Linked DNA regions of Mus musculus: regions 1, 2 and 3 are each reported to be linked to region 4. Evidence: microRNA targets listed by miRTarBase, many of them from high-throughput screens and not tested one by one. Region 4 holds a microRNA gene; each other region holds the end of a gene's coding sequence.
The links. The annotated mature microRNA mmu-miR-466f-3p reads CAUACACACACACAUACACAC and lies in region 4 at 2,144-2,164, opposite strand. An mRNA with a match to its seed (bases 2 to 7 or 8) in the 3' UTR can be bound and repressed. Matches are read on the target gene's strand: a 7mer-m8 pairs with bases 2 to 8, a 7mer-A1 pairs with bases 2 to 7 and ends in A, and an 8mer does both.

Region 1 (3,122 bases), not on the chromosome of region 4:
ATTACAGATGGTTGTGAGCCACCATGTGGTTGCTGGGAACTGAACTGAAGACCTCTGGAAGAACAGTCAGTATTCTTAACCATCGAGCCATCTCTCCAGACCTCAAATATCTCTTAAGACAGCTGGCAACATAAAAAGTGTAATTACGTAGTTCACACACACAATAGTGTGTGGATGCATTCATTTGCCTTCTGTGATGACTGGCAGGGAGGAACAAGGGCTTATTGGAATCAGGAGACAAAGGTGCAATTGAACTTTCTATTTCAAGAATACAAAAGAGCATATATTCTAGAAATAAAAGATGACAGAGTGGTACATTAGACAAAGGACACTTCCTCTTTTACTAATAGACCAGGCAACACATTAGATCCACTCAGCAAAGGTGGAGGAGGGGTTATTCCACGAGTAACATCCTGTCCACAAAATAAGACAAACTGAGACAAAAATAAGACTATTAAAACAGCGTTCTCATCTTTATTACTGGACATGAGCATGTTTTAGCACACTGGTTTCATGTGTATGACATCAAAAGCAACACAGTATCTTTCCAACGATTCCTCATCCACGCTAATTTCATTTCAGATAATTATGAGTAGCACAGTGGAAGAGTGTCCCACATCCTGACCAGTACAACACTGACAACTAAGGTATCCAGGAAGCCTGAAAATGGTTTCTGTCACACAAATTTTATTTTTACTTGTTCAAAAAAGGAAAACAATTTTAATTCATAAATTACATATTTGCCCACAAGAGCAAATTAATTTTCAATTCTATGTTCATCTTAAATAAAGAACAACTGAAGCATTTAATGATATTTTAATAAAAGCTAGAAGCAAACATAGAAGAAATAATAGAGTAGAATAAATACAGCCAAGTGTTACACATGCCTCAGTCTACCGTGGATATTGGCACTGTTAACCTGTACGCCTGTCTCAGCGCATAAAGATTTAAATAAGACTGAACGGTTTGGACAAGGTCATTTTTCTCCAATAAAAGAAGCCCTAACTTCTATATTTTAAAAATTACTCTCTACCATTTGTTTCCATAGAAACCAAACACAAATATATCTCTTTTATATCGGTGGCAACCAAGTAATAGGCATGTTAAGATACTCTTTTAAAAGTTTTGCAAATGTCGCTAAAAAAAACTCCTGTACAGAATCACAATACTGACAGAATGGAACACCCACAAGTGGCTCGCTGCTCTCATTTTAGTCTGTTCCCCACACAAACCCATGCGAAAGAGTTCAAAGGATTAATAATACATATCACATACAGTTTGGGATTTAAAAACCCATGGCTCTGGAAACCTTAATTACGATTGAGAAATTCCACCCACAAAAAGCCTGCGAGCTCTGACGAGTTTCAGAATTAATACGCTCTAAATAAACCATTCTGGAGAAAAGCCTTTCCCCACACTGGCAATACTTATCAGAGATGGGCAAGACCAGAGTGACAGGAAGGGGCTTCCACAGAGGGCAGGAAGAGCAGCTGGTTTTGAGATAGCACACCTTTTCTGTTCTGCTTAGAAACCATAAAGGCATTTATGGGGGACTGAACTGTGCACTATAAAAGCAGAGGGTTGGCCAGCACAAGCATCAACAGTTGTATCGGTCAATCCATAGAACATAAAAAGCAACAACACACACGCACGCGTGCACACATACACACACACGCACACACACACACACACACATACAGAGAGAGAGAGAGAGAGAGAGAGAGAGAGAGAGAGAAGGGCTCTTCCTAAGAGAATGCATATACATAGAACAGGTCAGAAAGGTACTTGGTGTATGCCAGCGATGATCTCCTGTCATTCAGTAGCTTGAGCATTTCGCCATGTTGACAGTTTTACCACTTCTCGTTGACCAGTCCTTAGTCTCAGGAACCATCTAGGTCAACTTTTCATACACAGCAGGTGTTCAAACATGCTGGCAACCAATAGATGGTCTTGCTCAAGAAATCACATTCCACGTATCCCTTGAGTGGACCCAGTAAGTGTCTAGGAACATGACTTCAATGATGCCCAGAGAAGGATACATGACCTTGCCTTAAAACAGTTCACATAACTGTTGTACCTCCCTAAAGAAAGCATGTAAACATCTGGTGAATGTGGATTAATGGTATAATGTGAAAAATTGGCCAAAAACAATCCAGAAACATTTGGCCTTTCAGCACCCAAGGCTCCCAAAATATAATGTTAAAACATCTCTGCTTAGGGGGGTCTCAGTAATCTGAAAACTGTCCTACCTGAGTGGCTAAACCATTATCCCCTAAATTTTAAAGAAGTGCAAGGAGTTCCCACACTCAGGAATTGCATAAGTGTTTATCTTTTTGCAACAACAAAAGTGAACCATACAGAGGTAGCAAATCCAACTCTAAAGCCCAACACAGGAGCAAAACTCCTTTCAAATGCTAACAGGACTATTGCAAGTATCTAATAGGACTTGTTAACTTGGGCTTGCTTCTACCTGCTTTGGGATATCTTATCATTCTCATCTCTTTTCTTATCACGAGGCCATTGATGAGTCCAGGCTCTCCTTGGCCCAGTAGCATCTATTGCAACATCAATGAAAGAGTCTGGAGTCATCCACTGCAGGAAAATGAGGAAGAGATAGCTGAGCACAGCCAGCAAAGCAAACATGTAGCCCGTCACAGGGCCACAGTGTGAGATGAGCCTGTCCAATCTCTTGTGCATTGGCAAAACAGTTTCCTTCGACACTCGCTCATACACCTGCAAGAGAGAAGGTGACAATGAATGAGTGAGCACTCCAAGCCACCATGTGCCTGTAACAAAGGGTGACCCGTGACCCACACTGACCGGGAGCAACTGGCAAACATGAGTAGAGACAAATCACCCATGTTTGCTGTTATTTAGAACAATGCTTACCATTGACTTAATTCTGGGCTGAACAATGAGTGACCCATAGAACAGGTGATAGTCACCTGACTACTGGAAAACCAAAGTCCTCTAAGGTCAGAAAGCTTTTTCAGTAGGCACACTGCTAAGCTGGGCTAATGCCTTGACTGGGTGGAGAAAGCTCTCATAAATGCCTAGTAGACAGCACACACAGTCACCACACTGGGCTGCTTATAGATGGTGACACTATAGAGAAGCAGGAA
Region 2 (3,131 bases), not on the chromosome of region 4:
TTCCAAGATGGAAGGTTGTGCAGGCAATGTGAAGAAAGACGGCTTTGCTTCCGCAAGGGACCCACATAACTGCCTGGGGTTCTTAGCACTAGCTCACCACTGAGGCAGGGTTAAGGAACCCAGAACAGACAAGTCAAATTGCAAGACTGTTGTCTAGTGGCTGTTACCAGTACCTCTGGCTTCCTGGAAGCCTGGAGGTTGGGCATTTTTAATGCCCTCTTGGTCCATCTGGGGCCCAGAGAAGGTAAACAAAGACATATCTGTCATCAAACACCCACCCAATAGCATGAAGTGCTGTAGTTTCTTTATCCATCTTATAAGCCTGTTAGGGGAGCCATCTCATAACCTAGCTAGGATAGTTTGTGTGTACCACTTCCTTGAGAATGTCTGGGACTCGGGGCTTCCCGGTGGTAGTGTTAGTCTGCACCCGAAAAGAGGTGTGACTTGAGGCAGGAGTGCCCCATGATAGTTGAAGGCCATCTGTAAAGAGGCAGCATGAAAGCCACAGTGCCCTGTGCTGAATCCAGAAACTGGTCACCCTGGCCACACTATGAAAATACCTCCAAGCTTGGGTCAGTTGGAATGGGGTCGGCCCTGGCTTCTCTTGGATCATGGCTTGTTCTGAGATCCACAAATGTTTAAGCACACTGCTGCATGTCCCTCCAATCAGGCGACATCCTCTTGCTGCCTCCCTTCCCCTCATCTCTGAAGTGGTGAGAAAGCCCAGCAGCCAGGCGTGAAAGTACTTCGTGCTATGAAGCTTGGGGCAAGCCACTCTACTGAAAGGGATTTTCTCATGGGGGATTTTCAAAGTCCTCACTTGAGGGAAAATTAGAGAATTTTATAGTCTGAATAAAGTGCTCAAATATTCATCTCTATTATGTCTCCTGTGGAAAAGCCAAGACTACTGTCAAATGCCCGATTTATATTTTCCAGCTTGCTAACCTCAGAAAGGCAACAGCTTATGGCAATGGTAAAGCCATCAGGGCATGGAGAACTAACTGATGGCTGCTAGGGGTTTTCCGAGGCCATGTGTGGGCTGAAGTCCCACAACTTCCAAACACACAGAGGTCTTCAGCCTAGTGGATACAGGGAATTTGGGGGGGCTGAATCAGGGTAGTAGAGGATGAAGGACAGGCAAGGGCAGGCAAGATGGAGAGAAGAGTATCCTATGCCTACCAGCTGGCCACTGAACAATGGAAGGAACACTCTGGTCCACCCACAGACTTAGGGCTTCTGTGCCTATATTGAGGCTCACAGGCCCATGGCGGTGCAGTGATTGCCCTTGATTATACCTGCTGCTGTGGGGGAAGCAGATGTGGGCGTTTCTGGCTTTTGCAGGAAGTGCTTTCAAGCAGTGCTGCTCCAGACCCATTGCTGAGAAGTGGTTGCTGTTGATCTTGCCAGAAAATGCGGTCTGAAACAGCCAAGAATGTCTTAGGTGGCCATTTTGCCCCAAGCCACCTGGTTATACCTAAGCTGGGTTTGCCTTGCTTCCGGATGTCCACCATTGGCACTCTCCCCGAAATAAGGCATTGACCATTTGCATCCTTCAACACAAGTGTGCCTGCTGCCACCTGAGTTGAGAAGGGACAACTCTGGGTCATGAGAGAGGCTTGCCTAAGCCGGAGGTGCACATATAGCAGACAGTAGCTTCCTAGCCCAGACTGTGACCTACCCAGCACAATTAGGTGAGGTCAGATACAAGGGGAAGTCCTCCAAGGGAAGAGAAGGGAGCTTATTGTTAAAACACAAGTAACAAGTATTTGCTGTGGTTCAAGGATGGGAGACTGTGTGGGAGGGACCTAGGGAGGAGGTGGGTAGCAGCCCACAGACAGAGGCCTAATGGGGAGGCCCAGTACACACGAGAAGGTGGGCATTTCAAGCCCTTGTGACACGTGCTTGCTTCCCAAGAGTATGTAGGAAAGCTTTCATTGTGGATTTATTTGCATGATAGCCCAGTGGGCAAGAAGGTGGTCCCAGGCTGTGCTAGCATGACCTATTGCCTTTGAGAGGAAGTAATGGGTCGGAATCTGATAAAGGTGTCATTGCAGAGTGATACCAGCCACACGACTCCATTGCCACTGCTACTCTCTAATCTTAACACTGAACCAAACCAGGCACAGAGGAGCATCGAGTGTTAAAGGCCTTGACTTGGGACAGATGCAGTGTCTTTATGTTCCAAAAGTGTCCCCTGTCCCAGAATTGGTATTCCCATCACATTCTTCAGTTCAAGAGGTGCTATACCCCTGAAGCGACCAGAGCTCACTAAGGGCAGGAGAGAAACATCTCTGAGTTAGTGGGACAGGCGACAAACAGTCCCCAGGAAGACAACTGATGGGAGAAAGAGTAACAGTTCCTTGCCCAAGCCACCAGCGAGCTTCCTGGATATCCTGGATGTTCTTGACCCAGCAGGCCAAAGGCCTTTCTCTACCAAGCACGGTGGCATCTTGCAGGGCCAGACTTTGCAGGCTTATCAGTGTCCACATCCAGGCCCATAGCAGCTTCACAGCTGGTCCAAGACGCCAGCACCAAAGATGGCCTCCTCCACCCTGGGCTCCTCCGAGGTGGCCATTGATCGTATGGTGCCCACCACATGTCGCACCTCTGTAGGGAGGCTGCAGTGTGCGTGTTCCAAAAACTTAGCCACCAGAACCCTGGTGTCTGCATAGGCCTTGCTCTCCACTAAAGAGTGTGGCCGCTCTTTGGAGACGGTCTGTAAGGTCTCTGGCTTGGTCCCTTGGCCCGTTTTCCAGGTATCTGGGTCACCAGTGGATGAGTGCTGGTGCTGACAGGCAGCCATGGCTGGCTGTGATGTGGAGACTAGAAATCAAAGTGAAAGAGGCAATCTGAATACAACCGTGAACTTAATGAAACCGAAGTTCCAGGAAAAAAAAACAAACAAACAAACACAAGTGTACCAGGGGAGAGTTGCTACCACTGCGTGTGACCCCGTTCCCTGGGTCACTTAATTTCCTGTCAGCCTGGCGTGAATTTCCTGTTGACTTCAAAGGGTTGAAGTGAGGTGAGATGAGTGGTGGGCCTATGAGAAGGACTAGTGGGGGACCCTGAGCTCTCTTCGCAGCCTTCTCCAACTCTATGACCTCCATCCTTTGTGGTCTGGTGGCTTA
Region 3 (3,131 bases), not on the chromosome of region 4:
ACAAGGAGACCCGTCCAGCCACTGGTCTCCTACACCGCACCTCCACTTGCCATCACCGCTGCTTTTGCTCCACAGATACCACGTATCCCAGAACCTCTCGGATAGGAACACAGGTAGGCCTGCAGAGCCCAAAAAGGAGGTAATCTACTTCCGGTCCAGCCCCTTCGGCCGTCCCCCCCACCCCCACGGCCACACCCTGCCTGGGCCGTTAATGTGGATGAGTCACCCACCGCCCTCCCGCCACTGGGGTGACGCAGGTCTGGGCAGCCCGCCCGCCCGCCCGCGGCCACCACCGGCTTTCCCAGCAGCAGGGGGCACGGGAGGGGGCAGCGGGTCTCAGGCTAGGGTAAGAGAGTTTGGATAGCAGCCAACCCCTACAGACAGGGCACATCCGAGTGCAGTCAGGGCTGCAGCCCGGAGATGTCCGAGGTCAAAGGCGCTCCAGGAGAAGAAGGGGGTTTCACAGAAGACCAGGCTACTGTGCAAATAACTCCCGGAGACCTGTGACCCCGAGTACCCGGACAAACGAACTAGCAGGAGGGGGGCAAAAGGGCGGTCTCGGGGTCACAGAAGGCAGGCAGTACCCACACGTGCTCCTGGACCAGGAAGTGAAAGGGGCGCGCGGTAAATTCATGGACCGGAGCGCGCGCCAGAACCTAGTTCTTGCGGCCACTCAGCAGCCTGCGGACGTCCGACGCCCTCCTTCCTTCTCCCCCCAAAGAGAACTCAACGCTGGAGCAAACGGCTGGGGCTTGGGACCAGACCTCTTGGGTCGGGACGGACGCCCCGTCTTGTGCACCCGTAAAACTTGCCTTGCTTAACTGCTGAACAATGCAGAGAAGGCTTGGGAACCGGACCTGACAGCACGGGGCGGGGCACCCAGTTGGGACCCCAGCGTCCGCCAGTCTTCAACCCCCACGCTCCCAGAAGCAAGTCTCAAGTGTTGGCTTCTTGCTTTCTACAGACCACACACATAATCCCCAACTCCCACCCCGCTGCCTTGGTCCCTCAGTCCTGCTCACCGTCCAAGAGGGCTGGATGAGAGCGCACGCACGACAGGGGCTGCAGCGGCGAGTGGAGCTCAAGACCCGGCCGGGCTTGGAGTTTTCTGGGGGGTCCCGCCTCAGACGGGGCGGACCAGGGGCGGGGCAAGGGCCAAGAGGGTTTAAAGGCGCCGCCGCGTGGAATGCTGGAGCGCTTAAGATAGGTGGTCAGTAGGCAGGAATGAGCCGTAAAGGACCTGCGGAGTCCTTGGCGCCGCTGCAAAAGGTCTCCGCCCAGGGGATCCTCAACCTGCATTCACCAGCCATAGACTTGTATCCTAATAGGAAACTTTCTGCCTAGACTAGCTAGCTCAGGATCGCAGGCCTGTTTCTATGAGAAGCCTACTATTACAAAAAGGCCGGCCTTTTGTAAATTCAGGTCCAGGAAGCGCCTTCCTACAGGATAGAGTAAGGAGTAATAGGTCTGGTGCTTACAGGCTGGGACAGCACCCCCACGTGGTTCTGCTTGCCATTTAACTTCAAGCCCGGGCAAAAAAAAAAAAAGAACAGTGAGGTCACTCCTTGCCCGGGGCCTTGAGGGTGTGGTAGGGCTTGGGACCTGGGATTCAGACCCAGTTCTCTCTCTCCCTTCCATCTCCCATTTAATAAATTGACATTTCTTCTTAGATCTTGGAGGGTTGGAGGCGGGGGCTTAGTGGAGGAAGTTGGCAGGCACTTTTCTACCCCTTAAGAGTGAAGAGCAATAGTTGAGGGGTGTCCAGAACACCTACTTTTTCAGGCTGTAGTTAGCGGAGTTCCCCATTTAAAACCCACCAGTGTTTTTCTTTCTTCACGTTATGGAGTCCCCCGTTGAGCCTGATATTTAAAAGAACAGCAGCCAGTTCCACCCTGACCTTTGACTTCTCTATTCCCCAAAGTCCCGCTCAGACCCACAGAATGTCAAGTTTCAGTCCCCTGTGCCTTTAGGGTGTTCCTCTGCCCGAAAGTGGGTTTCCTTCACTGCCCCGTCACCTGCTCTGCCTGTTACCTGCTTGTGTGGCTTCTGGTCAATTACAAAAGCACCTTTGGCTTTAGTTGCCGTGCCCAGTCTACAAAATAAACTCCGGGCGGTGGACGGGACATGGAAAGAACTCTGAGCAGTCTCCTGTGAGTGTCCCAGGAATCCCCACATGTTTTAAGTATTTACTAAATATTGACTCAAACTGAACTCTTTGTGCCAATGTGATAACCAGCTTACAGCTTTATCACAGTGCGTAGTTGGCCTCAGTGACTAGCGAGAACTCCCCAAGGACAAAGGCATTATCCCAGTGATTTCTCTATTTTCTCATGGCTTCTGGCCTAACAGCAGATCTCTACTAGGCACTCAACAACTTTTTTCTTGAATGACTGTTGAATGTGTCCCATTCAGAACCCTCTCTGTACATATCCAGGGACTTCCTCATCTCTCTTAAACACAAAGAGAGGTGACAGAGAAACGGTTTCCAGACATTTATTATTCACCTGTTTTTTAAAAAAAAGAAACCTGCACCCACACCATAAACACCACTTTCGAACGCGCGCTTGCGCGCGCGCACGCACACACACACACACACACACACACACACACACACACACACACACACACACACATTCCTGTTCAGCTCCCAGACTAATTAAAGAGTCAGTACATCCAACTCTATACCAAGCTCACTCAAGCCTACCACCAGGCCACCGAGACACAGAGAGGTAGGGGCAGTGCCCCAGCTTGGAGCCAAAGTCTTGGACTCCTTTGCAAATCCATATAAGCCTTTCTTAGTTTCACACTAAGCGGGCTCATAGCAGAGTAGCCTGTTCAGGGTAAGAGATGGACTGCTGATAGGCTGGTAGCCGGGCCCTGGTAGCATCCCTGCGTCTGCGGAAAGCTAGGAATTCCTCCCGAAGGGCAGCACAGCGGGCCTCGGGGCCGGCAGCATGGGTTGGGTTCAGGAGACAGCTCTCCTCTGGAGTCTTGACACCTTCAAGGGGAAGACAGGACTGTGTGAGAAGAGATGCCGTGACTCACTGGCTGAAGGGCTGAGTCCTGAGGCTCCAAAAGGCCTTTGCGTGCAGCACAGGGAGCCTAGGGAACAAGAGATGCTGCAGGGCAGG
Region 4 (3,131 bases):
TCATGCCTTTACCATGAACTTGCACTCCTGATCTTCCCGACTCTACCAAGGGTTTTCCCGTGGTTTGTGAGACCTCACCCTGGCCCAGTCATACATAACCTCCAAAGCAGTAGGTCACATATCATTCAAATGGATCCGTGAGGGCCATTCTCGCATGTCTGTGTGCATGTGTGTATAGGTGTGTGTATGTATATGCATAAAATATACACACATATACATGCACGCACTTATGCACAAAGGCACATGCATAGGGGCCATCACATTATTCCAGGATGATCTCTAACTGCTCATGAAGTTAAGCATGAATTTGCACTCCTGAGACTCCTAACTCTGGCAAGCAGTTTTCATCTGGTAAGTGAGATGTTTTGCTATCCCATGAATATACACTCAATGAAACTCTAAGCATGCATAAATCAAATGGATGACTACCATGTGTGTTTGTGTGCACATGTATGTGTCCATATGTGTGTGTATATGTGTATGTATGTATGTATATATATATATATATATACACATATATATATATATATATATATGCATGTTCATATACCCACATTTACATGCACACGTACCTATACACATATACACATACACGGGGACAATCACAGAAATTCCAGGCTGTTCTCTAACTCATCATGAAGTTAAACATGAATTTGAACTCCATATTCTCCTCCCTCTGGCAACAATATTCACCTCCTAACTGAGACATAGTTCTGGCCATTCCTGTGAGTATGTGTGCATACAGCTATGTGCATATTCATGTAGAGAAGTGAATATGCACACAGCTATACACACATGCACATTCTTGGAGGGCATCACATGAATCGCATGCTGATCTCTACTCATCATGAATTAAATATGATTTTGAACTCCTCATCCTCCTGACTCTGGCAAGAGTACTCACCTCCTAACTGAGCCATAGCTCTGGCCCAGTACTGCATAAGCTCTAAAGCTCTAAGTCACATACCATTCAAAAGGATATATGAGTGGCATTCCTGTGCGTGCATGCGTGTATATGCATATTCATATAGAGAAGTGAATATGCACACAACTATACACACATGCACATTCTTGATGGACATCACATGAGTCGCATGCTGAACTCTAACTCATCATGAAGTTAAACATGAATTTGTACTCCAGGACCACCTGACTCTGGCAAGGGATTTCACCTGCTGAGTGAGACCTCTCCCTATTCAGTACTGCAGAATCTTAAAACTCTTAGTCACACGTCATTCAAATGGATCGATGAGTTGCATTCATGTTTGTGTGTCTGTGTACATGTCTATGCGTGTGTAGATATGTATATTCATATACACAATCCACACACAGGTACACGCATGTACACATACATGGGGGCATCACATGAATCCCAGGCAGATTTCTAAGTCATCATGAAATAAAGCATGAATTTGACCTCCTGACCTCCTGATTCTAACAAGCATTTTTAATATGATGGGTGATAACTCTCCCTGACCTAGTCACACATAATCTCCAAAGCTCTCAGTCACATAGATTGATGAGTGAGTGCCATTCCTGTGTGTCTATGTGCTCATATGTGTCTTATGTGTGCATGTATGTATATCATATTCACACATGTACATGTACACACACATCAACACATACACACATACATAGGGGCAATCACATGAATGCCAGGATGACCTCTAACTCATCATGCCTTTACCATGACCTTGAACTCCTGATTATCTTGACTCTGGCAAGGGTCTTTACTTGGTGAGTGAATCCTCTCCCTGGCCCAGTCATACAGAATCTCTAAGACTCTAAGACACATATCATTCAAATAGATCGATGAGTGGCAGTTTTGGGTTTGTGTGCATGCTTGTATGGGTATGTGCGTATGTATATGTATACTCATATACACACATGCACATGCACACATACATATACACACAGGCACATACACTGGGGGCATCACATGAATCAGAAGCTGATCCCGGACTCAACATGAAGTTGAGAATGAATTTCGACTCCTGATCCTCCTGACTCTGGCAAGATTTCCACCTTGTGAGTGAGAGCACTCACTGGCCCAGTACTACATAATCTCTAAAACTCTAAGTCACATATCATTCAAATGAATAAATGAGTGTCGTGTGTGTGTGTGTGTGTGTGTGTTGCGTGCGTGTGTATGTGTGTGTGTATGTATACATATATTCATATACACACATGCACATGCACACACACGTAAACACACATGCACATACATGAGGGGCATAACATGAATGTCTGGATGATCACTAACTGAAATTGAGCATGAATATGAACTCCTGATCCTCCTGACTCTGTCAACAACTTTCACCTGGTGAGTGAGACCGTTCATTGACACACTACTGCATAATCTATAAGACTCTAAGTCACATATCATTCAAATGGATCAATGAGTGCCATTCCTGTGTTTATGTTTATGTTTTTGTGTTTCCGTGCATGCGTGTGTATATGGGTGTGTATGTATATGTATATTCATATAGACACATATACATGCACACACAAGTATACACACATGCACATATATAGGGGGCATCACATGAATCCAGGATGATCTCTTACTCCTCATGAAGTTAAGCATGATTTTCAACTCCTATACCTCCTGACTCTAACAAGGGTTTTCACCAGGTGTGTGAGAATTGACACTGGCCCTGTCATACATAATCTCCAAAGGTCTAAGTCACATATCATTAAAATGCATCGATGAGTACCATTCCTACATGTATGTTTGCATGTGTGTGTATATGTGTGTATGTATATGTATATTCACATAAACACATGTACATGCATACACTTCTGCACACATGCACATAAACGGGGGACATCACATGAATCCCAGACTGATTGCTACCTCATCATGAATTTAATATGAATTTGAACTCCTCATCCTCCTGACTCTGGCAAGAGTACTTAACCTCCTAACTGAGACATAGCTCTTGATCAGTACTGCATAAGCTCTAAAGTTCTAAGTCACATACCATTCAAAAGGATATATGAGTGCCATTCCTGTGTGTGCTTGCGTGTATGTGCATATTCATATAGAGAAGTGAATATGCACACAGCTATACACACATGCACATTCTTGTTGGGCATCACATGAATCGCATGATGAACTCTAACTCATC

Region 1: the mRNA of Piga is a reported target of mmu-miR-466f-3p. Seed matches in the 3' UTR shown: 7mer-m8 at 1,907-1,913 and 7mer-m8 at 1,663-1,669.
Region 2: the mRNA of Fam189a1 is a reported target of mmu-miR-466f-3p. The part of its 3' UTR that is shown has no 7-base or 8-base seed match.
Region 3: the mRNA of Igsf9 is a reported target of mmu-miR-466f-3p. The part of its 3' UTR that is shown has no 7-base or 8-base seed match.

What each region holds. Positions count from the first base shown.
Region 1 is chrX:164,431,241-164,434,362 of GRCm38, reverse strand. It overlaps Piga (phosphatidylinositol glycan anchor biosynthesis, class A), which reads right to left. Exons shown (of 6, transcript NM_011081.3): 6 at 448-2,733. The coding sequence ends at 2,467. Among named protein-coding and RNA genes, the nearest start is that of Asb11, 4.2 kb to the left of the region's middle.
Region 2 is chr7:64,756,591-64,759,721 of GRCm38, forward strand. It overlaps Fam189a1 (family with sequence similarity 189, member A1), which reads right to left. Exons shown (of 10, transcript NM_183087.4): 10 at 1-2,823. The coding sequence ends at 2,507. Among named protein-coding and RNA genes, the nearest start is that of Nsmce3, 110 kb to the right of the region's middle.
Region 3 is chr1:172,498,224-172,501,354 of GRCm38, reverse strand. Igsf9 (immunoglobulin superfamily, member 9) reads right to left here. Exons shown (of 21, transcript NM_001145800.1): 21 at 2,478-2,998. The coding sequence ends at 2,817. Tagln2 (transgelin 2) reads right to left here and starts at 1,109. Exons shown (of 5, transcript NM_178598.2): 1 at 1,023-1,109.
Region 4 is chr2:10,471,040-10,474,170 of GRCm38, reverse strand. It overlaps Mir466f-3 (microRNA 466f-3), which reads right to left and starts at 2,218; the gene lies at 2,125-2,218. The region is part of intron 10 of Sfmbt2 (Scm-like with four mbt domains 2); the gene reads right to left. It overlaps Mir669d-2 (microRNA 669d-2), which reads right to left and starts at 2,527; the gene lies at 2,442-2,527. It overlaps Mir297a-2 (microRNA 297a-2), which reads right to left and starts at 1,917; the gene lies at 1,828-1,917. It also overlaps Mir466o and Mir467c.